Linked DNA regions of Oryza sativa Japonica Group. The main gene of each other region encodes a partner of the protein of the gene in region 2 in a complex. Links are inferred from orthologs where the notes say so. Each region holds a gene or a part of one and is shown on either strand. Other genes may lie near its edges. The genes, in order: COP9 signalosome complex subunit 4, COP9 signalosome complex subunit 3, COP9 signalosome complex subunit 7 and COP9 signalosome complex subunit 8.

Region 1 (3,627 bases), on a different chromosome or scaffold from region 2:
GGAAGAAGAAGAGCGGAGGAGAGAGGAAGAGGAGGAGGAGCAAGAGGATGGAAGAGGAGATGAGCCAAAACCGAGGAGGGAAGAGGAGGAAGGAGACTGGGGAGAGCGGCAGATTCGTTTGCCCAGGAGCTTGAAAAAACGCTTCATCGGAATCAAGGGCAGGCTCTCCAGTGGCTAAGCAAGTGAGCAGAGAGGGACATTTGGAGGTGAACGCGTCCAGCTACAGTAGTTTCTGCGTAAATAATGCTGGTCTTGCTCGTGTAGAGGCCGGCCTGCATACTACGTGCGTACTTTCGTTTCTTCCACTGTGTCGTGATGTAGCTGAGTTAAATAAGCTGTTGATGTGTATAATCGTAGCCTCCTCCCTTCCAAGAACCCGCCTGTAAACGGTTAAGTAAGCTGTTAATGTGTATAAACGTAGCTTTCCTCTCATGTTACATTGTTTTGGGCCGAGACTTGGAGACAGAAATCGAAGCACCTTCAAACAGGATCACTGTACCTAGCCTCCAATGGCTCGAGAAGGATGAGAGCCCTGCTCCAAGTCTGCAATCTACCCGCTCTTGCAATCGTCTGTCTCACCGTTCCTCCTAAGCAATCACTCACACTAAACCCACTCCGATCGGGGCTCGATCTGAGTATCCTGTCCCAACAACCATCATCATACCAGAAGAAAACAAGGCATAAAATGCTATCACGATCAATTTTGGTTTGTGATATAATGCCATTACGGCGCCACTGCCTTAATCTATCCAGCAGTTCACAACTTCACATGTACCGATCACCGACTAATTGTGGCCAAAATTCGTTCCGAAACATGACTGGTACTCGCAGCTGCGAACATCTGTACAAAATGTCCGTGAGGCCTGACGCCGTGACCACAGTTCTCACGAGTACCATCGAAGCAACTTGAAGAGCTCACACAGGAATAGCCATTCCCTTGCTTGACATGCTGTCCAGAATGTCGTTCAGCGCTTGGCACAGTCCCGCAATCTGAAACCACATCCGAGGTTTAGCGGTATGTATGTGGCTGTGTTCTCCCCGGCGCACGCTCGTATTGTTGCATAATTAATTAAGTATTAACTTTTTAAAAAAAAAGATTGATATGTTTTTTAAAACAACTTTTATATAGAAAGTTTTTGTATAAATCACACCGTTTAGCAGTTTGAAAAGTGTGCGCACGTAAAACAAGAAGTGGGTTGGGAAAATGGGGAAAGAGATATACTTGTGCAGAAAAAACTGGTGCCTAAGCTAATGCTAGAAACGCCAAGCACGAGTGTGCGGGTAAACTAACCTGTTGGTCCCACTGCTGCAGCTCTTCAGTGTCATCCTCAAAATGTATCACAGCTTCAACCTGTAAAATAAGCCAGGCGAGTTAATCTCATAACAACTTGAATTAAACCACAAACGGTAAAACATGGTTACAGTGTAAGTCTATTTCAGATGTCTGCTCGAAATGGTGGAATAGTATGAATATCAACATAAGGATTAAGGAAGTCATATGAATAAAACCTGATCAATTGAACCTCGCATCCTATCTTCATAAATCATTCGCGATGCTATCTTTTCAGCCTGCCAGCATCAAAATCAGTTGCAGTAAGACTCCAATTTGAATACTTTCATATTTAAAATCAAACATAAATAAAGAATTTATAGAGAAAATGCCAGTTCTTCCTGGTACCAGTTACAGGCCAGATGATTTGAACTATCCTATTTGATTTTAAATTGTGAAATTCGGTGGTTCTTCCCAGTTTGACTAGTTTCCAGCAAGTACCACTCAGAACCCATATATTCCAAATTCTTTTCTTTTTCTTAGTCATATGGACTTTGTGTGAATCTGTCTCTATAAACATGAAATGATGTATCATATCAACAGGAAAAATTAACCAAAATACTAACCTTCCTAGGGTCAATGCCCAATAATGCTCCAAGCTCATCAAAGCTACAGAAATAAATCAATAGTTGATCAGAATGATAAATCACAATGACCCAGGAAAATTTCAATGCAAAAACTAACCTGATATTAGTGTAAAGTTTACTGGCACTAAGGAGGTTATGCTCAATCATTGCCCGGTCAAGCACAGTAGACTTATCTGGTAACAGAGCTTTCTGTTGAACAGAAGAAAAATCCAGTCAATAAAATTACAAGCTACTACTACAAGTTATCTTGGAAGAGAGTATGTTCACTAACTTGATGCGGTCTCAGCTCCTCTGCAAATGCTTCAATTTCTGGTTTCCTCAAAATCCTTTCAAGAAAGACCTACACATTTGAAGTAGAAGGCCTGTCAATAAAGGGAGCTTATGCTCCAAATATAAATGCCAGGGGAGTATATCAAGATAGGCACCTTCTGCAGTATTGGGTATATCTTCAACTTTGAGCATCTCTCATCCTAAAGGGAAAAGACAGTATAAAATCATGCCACGAGTCATAATTTAAGCACCGCTATAATGAGAAAAATCAGATGCAAAACAATTGTATTTTCATGCTACTACAATGTTGATACAAGGTGTTGGTTCATTTGATGACCATGATTACAGATTGGTCAACATCAAACAGTATGAAACTATAAACTACCCACTGAAACTGGATGCTAGCATATTTATTAGTTTAGCAGAACTATAAAAAAAATCCTAAATAACTATTTGGAAGGATCTTGATATTAGTAATTCAATATCAAATGGGTTAAGTTTTTGTATAATGATGCCACATTCCAATGAGTTCGGAGACAATTCCTCTGTTTCAATATACATACTTTTTTCCCCGGAAAACATAAATTTTGGAGTGTACCAAGAATGATGTACAGTAAATGGGAATACAAATCACTGCGTAAGGGAGAGAAGCCACAGCATGTATATCATAGTAAGCTAAAGCCACAACCTATGGTGCTCCATAACAGAAACCAATCAATATCGATACAGAGCTCTGCAGAGCATCTGATAATTCAGATTTGTCCATTTGATAAACATGGCACAGGGAAAGGGCAAAGATGATTACGATAGTATGATACATAAAAAGTTATTGCAGACAATAAATGACATGTAGATATAACAAGCACTGCAAACCAGAATGTTATGATAAACCAACAAAGCAAATACCTTGTACAATGTAGCAAGAACACGAGATCGTTGCGGACCAGCACCAGCCAATATTGTGCATGTCACAGCAGCACTAAGAGCTTGCTCCAAAGCATTTTCATCGATCTCTCTGAGATCACATGCAGAGTGTTCCATCAGGAATTTTTATAAGTAGTATCAGCTGCTAATGTAACAACTGTAAAATTTAAGTGGAAATATCCAAGATGTTAATAGCAAGGGGGCAGGGGAATTGGAAAATATATAATGTATTGCTAGAAGGGTGCAGAAATAGAGTAGTCACCACAGAACAAGCAAACTACAGATAATGGAGATAAGAAACACATGAATTGAAAAGGGAAACAAATCTGCAACTATGTAGAGAAAATCTTACTCGTCACCAATTTGGCGTTGTTCAATCTGAGAGATGTCATAGTATCGAAGTGCAGCTTCCAAGAATCTTCTCTTCAGATCCAAAATTCTAGCGTAGCATACCTTAAATATATATAAAAAAAGAAGAAAATAAGTAAAAGTGTCTGTTTTAATGTAGACAAAAAT
Region 2 (5,043 bases):
GTGAAACTGGATTCATCCTTGATGGGATCCCACGCACTCATATGCAGGCGGTAAGTTCCTGTTTGCCTTGTCTGCTTGAACTAAATAACAAAGTTCTCGGTATCATGTAATTAGCATTGACATTAGATGTATTGAATTTAGTTATGTCCAACACAGTTACTAATTTCATTGATCTGTCTGTTTTTGAATGTTTCAGGAGATTCTCGATGAGATTGTGGATATCGACTTGGTTCTGAACTTCAAATGTGCTGATAACTGTTTTATGAAGAGGCGGTTTGGTGGTGACATCTGCCCCCACTGTGGACAGCTTTTTGATTTTAGCAAAACTGCGTCTTCAGACCGTAATCCGAGCCTTGGGAGCTGTACATGGCCTTCTCAGGTGCAACATGCTGCAGTTTTAGGTCTGGAGGACTCGAGAATGGAGAAGATGCGTGCTTATGCTGAACAGGTATTTTCAGGCCACCCAAACTTATTGGGTCTATTACTAGCATTGATCTGATGAGCTTTGCATTGCACCATGCACCCAATGAGGCCTGCTTTATGTATCACCTGATTGCATACCTAGGGATGGCAATGGGTTGGGTTGGGTTGGGCACGGACGGAGCAGGAACATGCCCGACCCATAACCGAATGGGCCAAGGGAGAGATGGGGCCAAAAATCAGCCATAGATATACAAAACTTGGGTCGGGCATGGGTTACCCATGGGCAAAATAGAAAACCTGGCGGCACCCACTAAGGTCTTGGGTCGAGCGTGCCCCTGGGCAAAAAATCGAACCCATGCCCATCGGGCACAGCGCCCGCGGGTACCTGGATCCATGGGCAAGATTGCCAATTTGCCATCTATATGCACACCCCTAAAAACTTGCATTTTCAGAAACAAGAAGTTTAAACTCTGAGAGGAATTGTGAGGCATGATACTAGTTCTTATGGAGTTCTCTAGCTTTGTTCTTGTAGTACAGTAACATGATAAACTCTAAATGTGAAACTCTCAATATGCAGACCAAGCTACTGGAAGACTACTACAGGAAACAGAGAAAACTTATGGAATTGAAGACATCAGCTCGCCCTGGAGAAACATGGCAGGGACTTGTCGCTGCCCTACATCTCCAGCATCTGGATGCATCCCCGACGCCGCACAAACTCACTATGTAAATATCGTTTGTGTGTTGTCTGAGAAAGATCAAAGAACTTGAGTCTAAGGATCTAGATTGTGATCCTAGCCTGCAACATATGTAGTATTCCTATCCTATGTTTGTGGATTCTGACTTCTGAGGAGTCAGCCGGCTGTCATTTTTGTCTCTCTGTTTTCATAGATATAAATGTAAGCGATTTTGCGGACGCACTTATATGTTTGTAATGAAGAATACTGGACTTGCGAGTGCAAGTATACCAGCTTGTTTTCCTCCTTATCAGTTCTTCTATACTGTCTTGTTTACATAGATGATATATCGTATCTCCTGCTTTGATCTTAGTTCTTGAGTATTCCATCAGTGAAGCCGATGAAATCTTGGAAGCGTCTGTAAGTTTTGGAAAAGAATACAGTTTCCTGTGTAATATCCATTTTTGCTAGGTCACCTGGGCACTGAGAATAGTTGTAAAACAGAGATTGTGGAGTGACTATCTGCATTCCAGTTTGGTAGCTGTTCATGATGAACCTCTGTTTCTATCTCAACTCAAGGTGTTTTCTGATTGTGGACTGTTTGACCTCCAGTTTGGACTGTAGGAATTTCGTCAGTTTTTGTAAAACTTGCATTCACATGCAAGAGCTACACAGGAAATTGATGTACAGTTTCTCCATATATTGTCAGGCGAAACCACCTCCAGTTCAGTGAATTTATGATTCAAATGCACACGAGCATCTGCAAATTCAAACTTCTGTTTTGAATAACAAAAAAAAAATCAAACTTCCTTTCGAAGCATATTTGGATTCGATTTTGTCAGATCACATCTGAATCTGCTACAAACGGCACAGATTACACCCCCCCACTCAAACGGACGGTCCAGATCCCCGCACAATTAAATCGATCTCGCCATCAAAATCTCTCCGCATCCAACCAAACAGGTCGACGCGAAGAGGAAGCCGCAGCACAAGAAAACCAAACCCCAACCGCGGCGACGCGAACGGCAAGCAAAACCCCCACACTTCCCGGCGGCGGCGGCGGCGGTGACGGCGGCGGCGATGGAGACGGTGGAGACGCTGGTGGCGCACATCCAGGGCCTCTCCGGGAGCGGGGAGGAGCTGGCCCACCTCCACAACCTTCTCCGGCAGGCCGACGGCGAGCCCCTGCGCGCCCACTCCGCCGCCCTCCTCCCCTTCCTCGCCCAGCTCCACCCGAGCGCCCACTCCCTCGGCTTCCTCTACCTCCTGTGAGTCCCGTCCCCTTGATGCCGCCGTCCGCGAAAACCCTAATCCCGTATGCTCGCCGAATCCAATCCGTCGCGCTAATCTACTTTTCCCCCACCTTGCGGGGGGTTGTTTCGTCCGTGATGCAGGGAGGCGTTCGCGTCTTCGGCTTCCAACCTGAGGGCGCAGGGCGGCGGGGACTTCCTGGTCACCACGGCCGATTTCCTCGTCTCCTGCTCGGCGGAGCAGATACGCTTGGCGCCTGATAAGTGTGCGTGCTGTTCAATGATCAAATCGAATCTATCTAATTCTGTCATGCATCGATTATTCGTTACTAGTACTAGAACATTATTCGTGGACTAAACATTCCACCTTTTTTTTTCTTCGATTTGTATTTTGTATGTGCAGTTCTGAGTGTGTGTAGGGTGTTCAAGAATGAGGTCATGCAGCTCAACGCGCCGATTAGAGGGATTGCCCCTCTGCGGGCGGCAATCCGCAAGATTCAGACTTCGTCTGAAGAGCTGACCCCGATCCATGCGGATTACCTTCTCCTGTGCCTGCTTGCGAAGCAGTACAAGGCTGGCCTAAGCGTCCTGGAAGACGACATACTCGAAGTTGATCAGCCAAAGGACTTATTCCTCTATTGCTACTATGGGTATATGGACGAATGTGCTTTATCCTTTATGGTTTTTTAATATGTACCGTTTGTTTACTTAACGGTTTTCCTTCTCTTGCAGGGGAATGATATACATTGGGCTGAAGAAGTTCACTATAGCACTGGATTTTCTTCACAATGTGAGGCTTTAAACATGTTAATTTTGTGTTTGATGTTTAATGGTTCAGTGTTTACAATGTTATGCATTTTTACAGGCTGTTACCGTCCCAATGTCATCATTGAATGCTATTGCTGTTGAAGCTTACAAGAAATACATCCTAGTTTCGCTCATTCAGAATGGGCAGGTATGTTCACCACTTCCTGCTTTGCGTCCTCTGCTGCTTTAGTGTGTGGAATTGTGGGACTTTTAGGGAAAGCTTGTTTTTCCTTAGCTTTGACCAGCGATCTGGTGCTCTCTAATTGATATACACCAGCTCTGGCTAAGATAAGATTTGTGGTAAAACATATGTGATATATGGTTGAGAAATTCAGATACCATTGCTAGATAAAGGTGAGTCTATATTTATGGTAAGCTTGTGAAACAAAGTATAATGCATGTAATGATAGGAACATGTACACAGGTGATGAAAGATAAGTTTAGTCAACCTCTAATTCCAAGCTAATTGGGTACTGTCCTTTTTCCTGTGTTAATGGGATAATAGGCTGGATGCCTAGGTTTGCATCCGCTGAATTGTGATCACAATCTTAGTGTTGCCATCTTTAATTGGTCCAATATTTTGGGCTCTCAAATGAAAACAACTACGGTTTTGTAAATGGGTTAAAAATTGGCAGCAGAAAAGCAGTATGGTACCCAACTCATAGGGATCCAAATCCATAAGCAGGTGGTTTAACCTTGATAGACAGAGATATACTACTCTAGTTAGTTTATCACTACTAAATTTCTGATCATGCATTCTCTTCCCACTTCTTGTATCAGGATATTTAGTTTTCCCGAAAATGTCGAATTTGCACACGTGCACTCAGCTTTAGCTTCTGGTCTTTAATGAGAGCTCAGATCTCCTAAAATTTGTTATGTTGATAGATCATCCTGTGGTATAAGAACTGCCAGTTGAACTGATGTGGTATATAATCTTCATAATTGTATTATGAGCTATAAGCTGGACATTTCTACATGTGCTCATCAAAAGATTTATTCTCTCCAATTTACTGGTTGCCCCTCCATAGCAATGCTAATAGGTTGTTATGTTCAATAGTTTATATAAAAAGGAGGATTACAAGCTGAGATTTATGCCATTTAAATGACAGGTTCCATCATTTCCAAAGTACACATCTTCAACTGCTCAAAGGAACCTCAAAAATCATGCTCAGGTATATTCAGGGAATCCTAGTTTCATCTGTCCCATGAAAGAATGTATGCTTGATAGTCGCATGCTGTTTAATGTAATGCTATAAGTGTTAGCCATGCCCCATGCTTTGTCTCATCGTTTGGTTTTTGATTTAGTGGTTTTTGATTCATTTTTGGCATGGTCAATGCTTTACCTTCTTTTTTTGTTTTGCTGCATAGTTTGTTCTCGGTATCAAGTACATTTGTTTTACTCACTAGAGGCAATGCTCACATTTTTATGTTCTACGTTACCGTCTATGCCACCCTAGATATAAAGGCTAAATTTTGCTCTTGATGCAAGTTCATCCTTTTTAGTGTTTAACTGCATACACCCTTTTTAGGTTGCTTCTGAAGTCATTAGTGCTCTGCGCTGTTCTTTTATTTCAGGTTTATGTTGACCTGTCAACATGCTACAGCAAAGGTAACTACTCTGAATTAGAGGAGTATATCCAGCTGAATGCTGAGAAGTTTCAATCGGTGAGTATTTCCTTTGTCAGTTGCTTGAGCTGCCCTCCTTACTATATCTATTTCCTTATCAGGAACTGTACTTAAGTTGCTATCTACTTGACGTGCTACGCATTATTTTGTTGACAGTTCTGCATGGCAAACCCATTTGTAGATTTATCTGAACCACCTCCTTCCTTTCCTCTGTTTTTTTTTTCTTTTTCAGGACAACAACCTTGGACTTGTGAAGCAAG
Region 3 (4,830 bases), on a different chromosome or scaffold from region 2:
AGGAAGAAACTACAAGTAAAGCCTTGGTGCCTCTAGCCGATAATGTGAAAACAACCTTGCTGGATATCTCAAAGTGGCTTGAAGGCTCCCTAGAAACTCTGGTGGTCAGTTGTGGATCAATCAGAGATAGATTCCTTGTAATCTACGACCAACTCCCAGATGAACTAGCCGATGTTATCACCCCAGCGGCATACCTCGAACAGCATCAGCTCAAGCTTGAAAAGGCTAAACAAAGGGTTGCTGATCGCCGTGAAAGAAAAGATCTTGAGGCCACCATCCAGGCTAGTAGGACTTCTATTAATGAAGAAAAGGCAAAACTTGATGAGTTGGAAGCTGGTCCAAGGTCCACTCAAGCCAACATAGATCGGCTGAATACTCGGAAGATAGAACTCCTAGCCGAATTGGAGCAGTGCAATGCACATATTGCTATTGAAGAACATAAACTTGCCGATCTGCCCAAAGCTACTGAGGATCAGAGATCATAGCTCAAATCTTCTGTCAAACATCTAGCTGATCTAATCAAGTCCCTGAAAGTAATTCTTGGATCTGATGCAGTCGATACCCAGATCATTGATGAGGTAGAACAGATTAGGCAACGAATTATATCGGCTATCCAAAAATATGTATGTGGATGAGCTAAACATGTAACATGTGAATGTATTTAGTTTGTTACCAAACATTGTTAATGCCTAGAGAATTTTGACAACAACATATTTAGTCTATCGCTCTATCCTATCAAAATTTAGTAATATTGTCAACTTGACAAAATTTTGGTATTGCTAAAATTTGAAAAATGTTTATTTTGGCAGTATAATACTCTCTCCATCTACTTTTGATAGTTATATTTTCAAATTTGAAAAATTTATTTTTGATAGGCATATTTCAATCCAACAACTTATCATCTTAATGACTTTCTCAGATTTAATGCATGACTCTCCATTCTTCCACACAAGATTGGTTGCATGGGCATCGAGAAATGTAAATATTAATGAATCGCTTGTTTACGAGAAATGACTAGTAGCATGTTTAAATGGATGATAAGTAGAATTATTTATCCTTGATCTGTGTGTCAAGATAAAATATGACTATCAAAAGCAGATGGAGGAGGAGTAATAAGAAGGCTAAAAAAAAATTGGTGTCTAAACGGGGAAGATGCATTCTTAATGGCAGCAATCCCCCACGTCGACACGCAGCCCAAGCGACCGTGGCCCTCCAGGCCCCGACTCCCGAGCACGAGTATGCGGCAACGAGCCGGACACCAGCACCACCCACCACCGTGGAGCCCAACCGAACCCGAAACCCACTCTCCCCACTACAATCCCACAAAACACAGAGAATATCACCGAGGCGAACGAAACCGAAAAGAAAGCGAAACCCCGATCCCCCAAACCCTAGCGCGTACTAGCCCCCCGGGCAAATCGCCGGCGGCGATGGCGATGGACGCGGAGCGGCGGCAGGCGGAGCTGATCGAGCAGTTCTCCGCGCAGGCGGCCGCCCTCTCCTCGTCGGCGCCGCAGCTGGCGGCGCTCGTGCTCGAGGCCACCTCCCACCCGGCCCTCTTCGCCTTCTCCGAGCTCCTCTCCCTCCCCGCCCTCTCCAAGGTATAAGGGACCCCCCGCCTCTCGCTCCGCCTGCGCCCCGCCGCGCCGCGCGTGTTTAGGGTTAGGGTTTTGGGGGTGGACCACCTCTCCTCCCCCCTCTGATTTCGATCTAATGTCAGTTCGTTGATGCAGCTCACTGGAACGCAGTATGCGTCGTCTCTGGACGTGCTCCGCCTCTTCGCCTATGGGACATTGAAGGACTACAAGAGTAAGATCACCCCCTCCCGTTGCGATTCGTACATTACATTGCCCTTATGTATGTGTTGTCATGCGTCATATGTGTATGCTTATTTGGTGCGTGAGTCTAGTGCATTGTCTTGTTGTTGTGTGTTAGGGGTACGCCCTATGAAATAGCCGCTTACCATGGACGCGATTGGCATGTGAGGGCCATAGCCCATATGTTTAATGGTTAACAATAGTGCTGATTTGTGTTAATGTTAATTCACACTTTTTTTTTGTGTTATATTGTTATAGGTTAATTTTTTGATGGGATTCACATACTAATTAATCATAATTCATCTTTGTCTTATGGTTTATATTCTGCAACAATATGTGGATAGAATTATCACATTTCTGTGCTTGAAATCATAATTTGAGCTGTGACAATCAATTTGCCTTTTCACCCACCAATATGATCAGTGTGTGTCAGGCTGTGGTTGCTAGAATTTTGTTGTTTCCTCTCTCATCGGCATGTCATTAAAACGGTCTGCAGTTTGTGGTATTCTCTGTTTATAGTAATATCAGATAAGTGCAGAACATGAACATTTACTGTTTCATTAATTGTTTTTAATTTTCATACATGTAGGTAATTCTGGCAATCTCCCTGCATTGTTACCTGATCAAGTCCGGAAGCTGAAGCAACTCAGCGTGCTAACTTTGGCTGAGTCAACCAAGGTGCAAATTTAGGCTGATACTGTCTAATATGCTATGCATTTTTTTTTTTGCTTATCCTGTGTACATAAAGTTACTAAGGGAGCGTTTAGATCCTTGGCAATGGGGATTTTAGCCTTGCATAGCAAGGGGAGTTATCATTTGGTAGTAAAAGAAAACAAATCTAACTTTCTCTGTCAATCTAGCTTAACAATTGTCAGAAAAAACTTGCTGTCAAAGGAGAGAAAAAATGGCCCCATCTTCATCGACAAGCATGTGAGCATGAACTGTTGATGGCACCAAATATCGTGCCTCGCTGCCTTGCTTATGTGGGCCATAGATGAAATGAGCAGGTTTATGCCAGGCTGAGCAAAGATAATTTAAGATCCAAATGTATCCTCACAGTTGTTTCATCAAATAATAGCTGGTCTGCATGTTTATTATCTAGGTTTTTCATTCTTCTTTCTTTACGTATGATGGGAAATAGTTCTATGCAGTTATATGTGTTAAGTGATAGTGATTCTCTGAACAGATAACAACCAATGCCAGAAACAAGCTTCTTCCATCCTATTATGTGTGCCCAATTTAGCTTTACACTATCTGTGAATACTATCTTATTCTTTATGTGCATAGCCTGTTTGAGTGTGCACTGGAAGTCAAGTTCATGTAGTATTATCTTTTACCTTAAAACTCTGTTCTATGTTTTTGCTTTAGACAATACTAAATGTGCTTGGTTTTTATTATCATTTCTATTCAGGTGCTACCATATGATCAACTCATGCAAGAATTGGATGTTTCCAATGTAAGAGAACTCGAAGATTTCCTCATCAATGAGTGCATGTACTCGGTGAGAATTTTTTTGCCTTAGGCACTTAAATCTCTATTTTCCATCTTCTAACCTCCCTAACAAAAACCATGTCATTACAAATATATCTTGTGTGGATTATTGCTCTTGTAAGCTCTCTAGCCTTTAGGATCATCGGTTTGTTTCTTGAACTTTTACACCATAGATGCTAGTATTCTAGTCAAATATTAACGTTTAATTGCTTCCCTAGGGTATTGTCAGGGGCAAATTGGATCAGCTGCGGAGGTGTTTTGAGGTCAGATGCTTGTTCTTACAAGTACATTGTTCATGGTTTCATTGTTTAGCTGGCAAATGATCCCCCTAAATTCTGTCTGTACTTGACAGGTACAATTTGCAACTGGAAGGGATCTTACACCTGATCAGCTGAACAATATGATAGATACATTATCTGACTGGTGTGTACCTTTACTTGAGTGATTGTTGCATCCCATCCCTATTTTTTGTTCACAGAAGTTTTAATGTTTGCATTTATATATGGTTCTCCCTCATATCTGATATGACCTTCTGAAAGATACATTGAGGTCATGTGTTATGGGAACTGCGGCTGGGTTATTTTGCTATGTTTATTTGTTCTAGACTCCATGTGTGTTGTCCCTTCAGGCTACTATTGTAGATGGTATGGTTTTGGTTGTTTTTTGTAGTTGGGTGCTGTAGGGATAATGTGAAATTGTGTCTTCTCTTGCCAACCCACTCTGTCTGCCTTTTAACCTTTTTAAGTTTTAATTATACACTATCCATTGTTTTTATTGTCAGTTCATAGCTTTATGTTTTAAATCATATAGAAGTGTTTCCTTGAATTTGTTAAAAGATGAATAACCTCTGAGGTTTTTCATTTAGACAATAGTGTATATGCATCATTTGGTGCTGATATTGTGCTTTTGACATTTCACAAGTAATCAGTTTATATGCTCGTGCTTTGACATTTTTACTCGGTCCATTTTATGTTGAAACATTATGAGGTGCATGTTAACGGGACCAATGGAAGTTTATTGGTACCAACTCATGCTGATGTAAATTGCACAGGCTGGGAACATCGGATAATTTATTGCATCAGATTCAGGAGAAAATTAAGTGGGCTGATACAATGAGTGAAGTGAACAAGAAGCACCAGAAAGAGTTCGAAGACAAGGTAGAAGAAGCCAAAAAATCAATCAAGGTGAGTTGGATCAATTTGAAGCACCAACTATACTGTAGTTTTTCAGATATTGAATGATGAACAGTAAAAAAGGAAAAAAAACTTGCATCTGTTTTGTTTTTTCTAGCGAACATCAGGCTTTTGCATAATTCTTATGATGTTTTTCTATGTTCCTCATTCTTCTGATGACCTGTTGACCCATGTCCATTTACTGTCATGTGTTCCATTCTGATTTTAGTATTAAATGCTTTTAAGTATTCATATAGTATTAAATAGTGGAATTGCCGGACCATGTTTCTTACTTGATGGCAGAAGTTGAACAATTTAAGCAGGCAGACATCGACTTACGGGGGCATGAC
Region 4 (4,835 bases), on a different chromosome or scaffold from region 2:
TGATTGATTTATATATAAATATCTGTCCATCTGGCATGGAGGCACTCCAATCCTCCAACTGCAAAAGTCCCAGAATGTCTGTAATTTACAGGATTTTCAAACAATTTAATTTAATTTCTCATAAACAGCTTCCAAAATTTATCCATTACAAATAGGCCTTTAGTCAGGAGGAGATTAAGCCTATATGAATGTAGTTCATCAAGTGGATACTTCCTAAGGCCCTTTGTACCAAGAACCACCTTACCATACTATCGCAAAACAATAATTATAATTTTTATAGGGTGTATGAGAAAAGCACAAATTTTGATCTAAATTTATGACAGTATTACAATTTTACCCAAACTTACATTAAACTACAGACTTAAGAGGGTGTATCACAATAGCATCAAATTTACCACAATACTACAGGTCTAATGCATAATATTGTAGATCTACAAATTTGAACACTAATTTTATCACACAATCATAGCATGTAGCTCAACCCAAATATAAACTCTTGAAACTAGTAGTTTTATAATAATATTGATGTTAAAATTGTAATTTTGTGATATACATAAATTTGTAGTTACGAATAGTTCTGTGCAATTTACTCATTTCGTAACAGTTTTTATTCAACTCATTCAAACTACCATCAAATAGTATTTAATTTGTTTCGAATCAACTCATTCAAATAAAACCGTGATGTTGTTGCTATCAATGTTGATGCTGCAACTTTTCAGTAAACACGTCGAATGGGAGTGGGCATGGTAATAAAAAACTACACCTGTGATTTATTGGCTTGCAATGAGCGCACAAAAGAGGTTACCATAGTATAGCTTGCTGAAGCATTGGCTCTACGCCGCGTTGTTGCTCTCACTTGCGAAGAAGGTTTTCAAAACGCTAGTAATTCTGAATGCAGTCATACGGAGAGTTAACTCATTATCCATGGACCAATCTTCAAATGGCATAGTGATTGCAGACATCAAGGTCATAGCAGTGGGTTTCTCCTCTATTAGTTTTAATCATGTTTATCTATGTTGAATGCCGCGACTCATTTATTAGCTCGTTTCTGTGAACATTCTAGTGATGTTATGCACCGTAACGTAACCTTGGAGTGTATTCGGGAGATACTTTGTAGTAATGATTTACCATAACCAATAAAACACCGCTCTCTCTAAATAGACAAAACCAACCAGTAGTAGTATTCAATCTACTTCCAAATTTGAATCAAATAGTAGTCAAATTTGCAGCATGTTGGGGAAGCACTAGTGGGTGGTGATGGAGTCGTGGGTGCATGGCTCCATCCACTAGGGTTTAAATCCTAATAAGATAATAGATGTTTCACCGATCTCCATCTCTTAGAGTCTGCCATGTTATCTCATAAAGAAATCAAATCTAGGTGAACTTTTAGCAGGGTTTTAGTAACATAAAAGATGTTTGGCTGATTTCCGTCTCTTAGAGTCTGCCATGTAATCTCAAAAAGAAAAAAAAACTGCAGTATATGTTGGAGAAAGAAACAACCCTATCCCTCGCGGGCCAGCCTGGGCCGGACATGTCAGATGGGCCAGAGAGATACACGATTACACGTGGGTTTTTTCTTCCCCCCGTTTATTTCCTTTCCTGAAATTTCTCCAAATCTGCCCCAAATTCCGAATTTTACTCGAACTCCAAAAACCCTTCCCCTCTTCTCCCCTCGCCTCGGCCCGCCGGCGGCCGGCCACCACCGCCACCTCCTCCTCCGATGGATCTCGCCGCCGTCCACGCCGCCCTCGCCGGCAAGTCCTACTCCTCCGTCGCCCCGCTCTGCGACGACCTCTTCCTCCAGGTACCAATCCCTCCCCTCCCCACCCCTCTCCCGCCTCCCGCGACGCGAGGAGGGTTAGCGTAGCGCTCCTGACTCGGTGTTCCTCGCGCAGGCCGCGTCCCGGGGCGCCGCCACCGACGGCTGGCCCTACGCCGTGCACCTCCTCGCCCACCTCTACCTCAACGACCTGTAACGCCCCGCGATCTGCTCCCCCACCTCTCTCCCATGGAATTTTTCTGGGCTAGGGCTTCCGGGATTAATGTTGTTTTTGTGTTTCTGGGTGGGTGCGTGTGTGAGCAGGAACAGCGCGAGGTTTCTGTGGAAGTCGACGCCGCAGGAGGCGAAGGACGCGCGGCCGGAGCTCGCCGCCGTCTGGAGGATCGGGCAGTGCCTCTGGAACCGCGATTACGCGGGCGTCTACGCGGCCGCGCAGGGGTTCGAGTGGAGCCCTGAAATCGCCGACTTCGTGGCCGCCTTCCTAGGTACTGGTTGTTGCTTTACTGTTCATGATGGAAACGTGCAACAGTTGAATTATTCTGTGTCTTTGTGCAAAGTTGTATTGCTTACTAGAATGAATTGCATACTGTGGTAGTATTGTGTTGGAGGTCACCACTTTGTGGTGTGGGTTGGGAAGTCGGGAGATTCAGATGTGCATACATATACTTCATGGAGTAATTGTGGAAACGATTTATCTGCACAATCAGGCTGAATCAGCTTCCTTAATGAATACGCAAAGTTACTATTAGTAGAGTGCCCGTTAGTAGAGTTTTGTGCTGCGTAGTGTAATGGTTAAAGTGTTTATCTTGGAAATACTTGCTTCCTAAGATAGCCTTGTTCAGTGGGTTTATACTATCTCCTTAATAAGGACTAGTGATTTGATTATTTTCAGGCTGCTCATAAGAGTTTGGTTCCCAAGAAGTTCAGTTTTGTTCCTATTTTTACTTCTAATTGACAACATGATGCAACAATTCTAGATGCACAGAGGATGTTCATTAACTCATGCTTCAATCAAAATAAACACTTTGTAGTTATCATTTATGAGTGAAACTGTTGAATGTATTAATGTAATAGCATTATAATTAAACATTTGCACTTTTTTATAAGGTGATTGTTAACATTTTACCAGCAGTCATTGTGACACAGTAGTGGAACTAGAGAAGTTAAGTTCTTTCCATGAAGTGCTTACTATGACATATACCATAATAATACGTCAATCAGGATAATAAGTTAATAACATCATGATTGTTTCCCTTTTGCTTGTTTAACCAACTAATCTTCTAGTATTATTTTTATATTAGGAAATAAGTATAAAGCCTGCTGTTTTATATTTTTTTTAGTATTTATAATTGGTTAACTTGAATATCCAATATTGTTTTCTGATTACACAGAAAGCTACAGAAAGAGGATTTTCCAGTTGTTGACTTCTGCATATTCCACAATCAGCGTTGCTGATGTGGCTCACTTCATGGGGATGAATGAGGAGGATGCTACTAACTGTACATTTTCTGAAACTATCTTGTTGCTGTACTATGTTTTTTAATGTTAAGTACAATGTTCTGACTATCTTCATGTTAATCAACAGTATAGATCATAGAAGTTCTGACATGGTTAATATGGTGTTTTTAGTCATCTTTATCTGTAGAAATCATCCAAAGTCCCAATTTTAGGATACACTGCATCCTTTTCAACTTCCATAGCATTTCTTCATAGATTATAATCTTTCGTCCAATATGTGTTTTTGCAAGTTCCTTGAATTTTGGAAGGTAAATGTTTCTCCCTATGTCTCAAAATATAACAACTTTTAACCCTCAGGATTTGTCCCAAAATATAACAACTTCTCCACCAACATTCTCTTTCCAACCAATCACAACCCTCCACCATTCACTTTTCCCACCTACCTCCACTACTCATCCAATTACAACCCTCCACCATTCACTTCTATCTACTTTCTTAATAACCGTGTCCAACTCTAAAACTCTAAAACAATGATGGTGCCCCTATGGACTTCTTTTGGGTAGCACTTCTATTGTACTGACTGGATTATAACACTGCATATTACATTACTTTCCTTTCACAATAGAAAATAGAAACCTCTCCTTCATACAATACTTGAATTCCATTTTGTGCCATCAGTGTTGTCCACATTTCTCCTGGATTGAGCATTGTACATTCTAGGTTTGAATAAAGTGTCAGATATTTTGTTGTCTTTGAGACTCGGTTGTGTCAAAATTAAACATACTTTTGTGTGCATGAATTTTAGTTTGTTTTGATCATTGTGATAATGCTGGCCCATTGATTTTGATGTTCACAATGAGGTATATCCACAATTTCACATCTAATTGGCTATCTCTGTTGGCTTGAGTACTGTTGTGGAGTATAAAATTAGTAGAAATTTTGGCACAACCCACTCAAAAAGAGTTGTCTTCATTTTACCATTTCAATATAGTGAATGCATTCTTCTTCCTTCTAATTACCAAAATTTTTCGTAGGTCATTCATGTAACATATTGAAAATTATTTTTTTTTTGTGGTCAATGCATCAAGGCTCGTGTATCCCTCTTTCTATGGCTATAACTAAAACTTGCTATATTTGAAACATATTGAAAAACATATTGAATATTTTTGGAATAAGCATCCCTCTGTATTTGAAGCATTTTTAGTTCTGCAAATTTTATTATGCTATTGTGTTTGACTTTCTGCATGATATTTGCCTGCTTCAGAAGCTGATGACAATAGTTGTCTTAATAATCATTACAGATGCCATGCAAAACGGTTGGAGCTTGGATGCGGCAGCCAGGATGCTTACTGTCGTAAAACCAAAGGTTAAGACTAACCAGAAGCTCGATGCAAGCAAACTTCAGCGATTAACTGAATGCGTCTTCCACCTGGAGCACTAAAGTCCAGCATTACGGGCATCCCGCATGACTCTTAAGAAACCTATTTATCATATGATGCCAAGCCGAGATTGCCTTTTCTCCGGAAATCAGAGTTAGTTCAGTGTTGAATTTCCATCTGCAATTGATTTCTGGTTAGCGACCTTAGCCTTTCTCTGT

What was found.
Region 1: COP9 signalosome complex subunit 3 (region 2) and COP9 signalosome complex subunit 4 share a complex: the UniProt entries of both Arabidopsis thaliana proteins name them as parts of the CSN complex. The link is inferred for Oryza sativa Japonica Group from reciprocal best matches to the Arabidopsis thaliana genes COP13 and COP8.
Region 3: COP9 signalosome complex subunit 3 (region 2) and COP9 signalosome complex subunit 7 share a complex: the UniProt entries of both Arabidopsis thaliana proteins name them as parts of the CSN complex. The link is inferred for Oryza sativa Japonica Group from reciprocal best matches to the Arabidopsis thaliana genes COP13 and FUS5.
Region 4: the proteins of COP9 signalosome complex subunit 3 (region 2) and COP9 signalosome complex subunit 8 are in contact, whole or in part, in a cryo-EM structure (PDB 9IS6), measured with the Arabidopsis thaliana proteins. The link is inferred for Oryza sativa Japonica Group from reciprocal best matches to the Arabidopsis thaliana genes COP13 and COP9. Residues at the interface, in NP_568296.1 of Arabidopsis thaliana: Asp121, Leu123, Arg124, Pro128, Ala157, Lys158, Gly193, Leu194, Lys195, Lys332, Glu335, Met336, Leu339, Gln340, Ile342, Gln343, Ala349, Leu350, Ile351, Asn352, Gln353, Lys354, Asp377, Ile380, Gln381, Ile384, Lys388; in NP_193147.1 of Arabidopsis thaliana: Met26, Leu27, Ala30, Ser31, Gly33, Ile34, Glu35, Tyr36, Asp56, Phe60, Arg64, His89, Tyr91, Leu125, Ser128, Ala129, Tyr130, Ser131, Thr132, Ile133, Thr134, Asp137, Phe141, Met166, Arg187, Glu190, Tyr191, His194.

The regions. Positions count from the first base shown.
Region 1 is NC_089037.1:5,165,745-5,169,371, forward strand, and holds the end of COP9 signalosome complex subunit 4, read right to left. Parts: intron 3,565-3,627; coding exon 3,464-3,564; intron 3,203-3,463; coding exon 3,094-3,202; intron 2,388-3,093; coding exon 2,343-2,387; intron 2,258-2,342; coding exon 2,189-2,257; intron 2,107-2,188; coding exon 2,015-2,106; intron 1,940-2,014; coding exon 1,897-1,939; intron 1,570-1,896; coding exon 1,510-1,569; intron 1,352-1,509; coding exon 1,292-1,351; intron 991-1,291; coding exon 916-990; 3' UTR 687-915; downstream 1-686. Other genes in the region: vicilin-like seed storage protein At4g36700, read left to right, coding at 1-178. UniProt on the Arabidopsis thaliana protein: Component of the COP9 signalosome complex (CSN), a complex involved in various cellular and developmental processes such as photomorphogenesis and auxin and jasmonate responses.
Region 2 is NC_089042.1:1,059,799-1,064,841, forward strand, and holds the start of COP9 signalosome complex subunit 3, read left to right. Parts: upstream 1-2,049; 5' UTR 2,050-2,180; coding exon 2,181-2,368; intron 2,369-2,494; coding exon 2,495-2,616; intron 2,617-2,753; coding exon 2,754-3,000; intron 3,001-3,082; coding exon 3,083-3,140; intron 3,141-3,215; coding exon 3,216-3,305; intron 3,306-4,266; coding exon 4,267-4,329; intron 4,330-4,732; coding exon 4,733-4,822; intron 4,823-5,015; coding exon 5,016-5,043. Other genes in the region: probable adenylate kinase 7, mitochondrial, read left to right, coding at 1-50, 197-448, 1,001-1,153. UniProt on the Arabidopsis thaliana protein: Component of the COP9 signalosome complex (CSN), a complex involved in various cellular and developmental processes such as photomorphogenesis and auxin and jasmonate responses.
Region 3 is NC_089041.1:18,479,758-18,484,587, reverse strand, and holds the start of COP9 signalosome complex subunit 7, read left to right. Parts: upstream 1-1,353; 5' UTR 1,354-1,430; coding exon 1,431-1,601; intron 1,602-1,733; coding exon 1,734-1,809; intron 1,810-2,406; coding exon 2,407-2,495; intron 2,496-3,228; coding exon 3,229-3,318; intron 3,319-3,526; coding exon 3,527-3,571; intron 3,572-3,660; coding exon 3,661-3,731; intron 3,732-4,359; coding exon 4,360-4,492; intron 4,493-4,783; coding exon of another isoform or gene 4,784-4,800; coding exon 4,801-4,830. UniProt on the Arabidopsis thaliana protein: Component of the COP9 signalosome complex (CSN), a complex involved in various cellular and developmental processes such as photomorphogenesis and auxin and jasmonate responses.
Region 4 is NC_089038.1:21,626,569-21,631,403, reverse strand, and holds the start of COP9 signalosome complex subunit 8, read left to right. Parts: upstream 1-1,618; 5' UTR 1,619-1,720; coding exon 1,721-1,804; intron 1,805-1,895; coding exon 1,896-1,972; intron 1,973-2,083; coding exon 2,084-2,265; intron 2,266-3,171; coding exon 3,172-3,279; intron 3,280-4,539; coding exon 4,540-4,679; 3' UTR 4,680-4,835. UniProt on the Arabidopsis thaliana protein: Component of the COP9 signalosome complex (CSN), a complex involved in various cellular and developmental processes such as photomorphogenesis and auxin and jasmonate responses.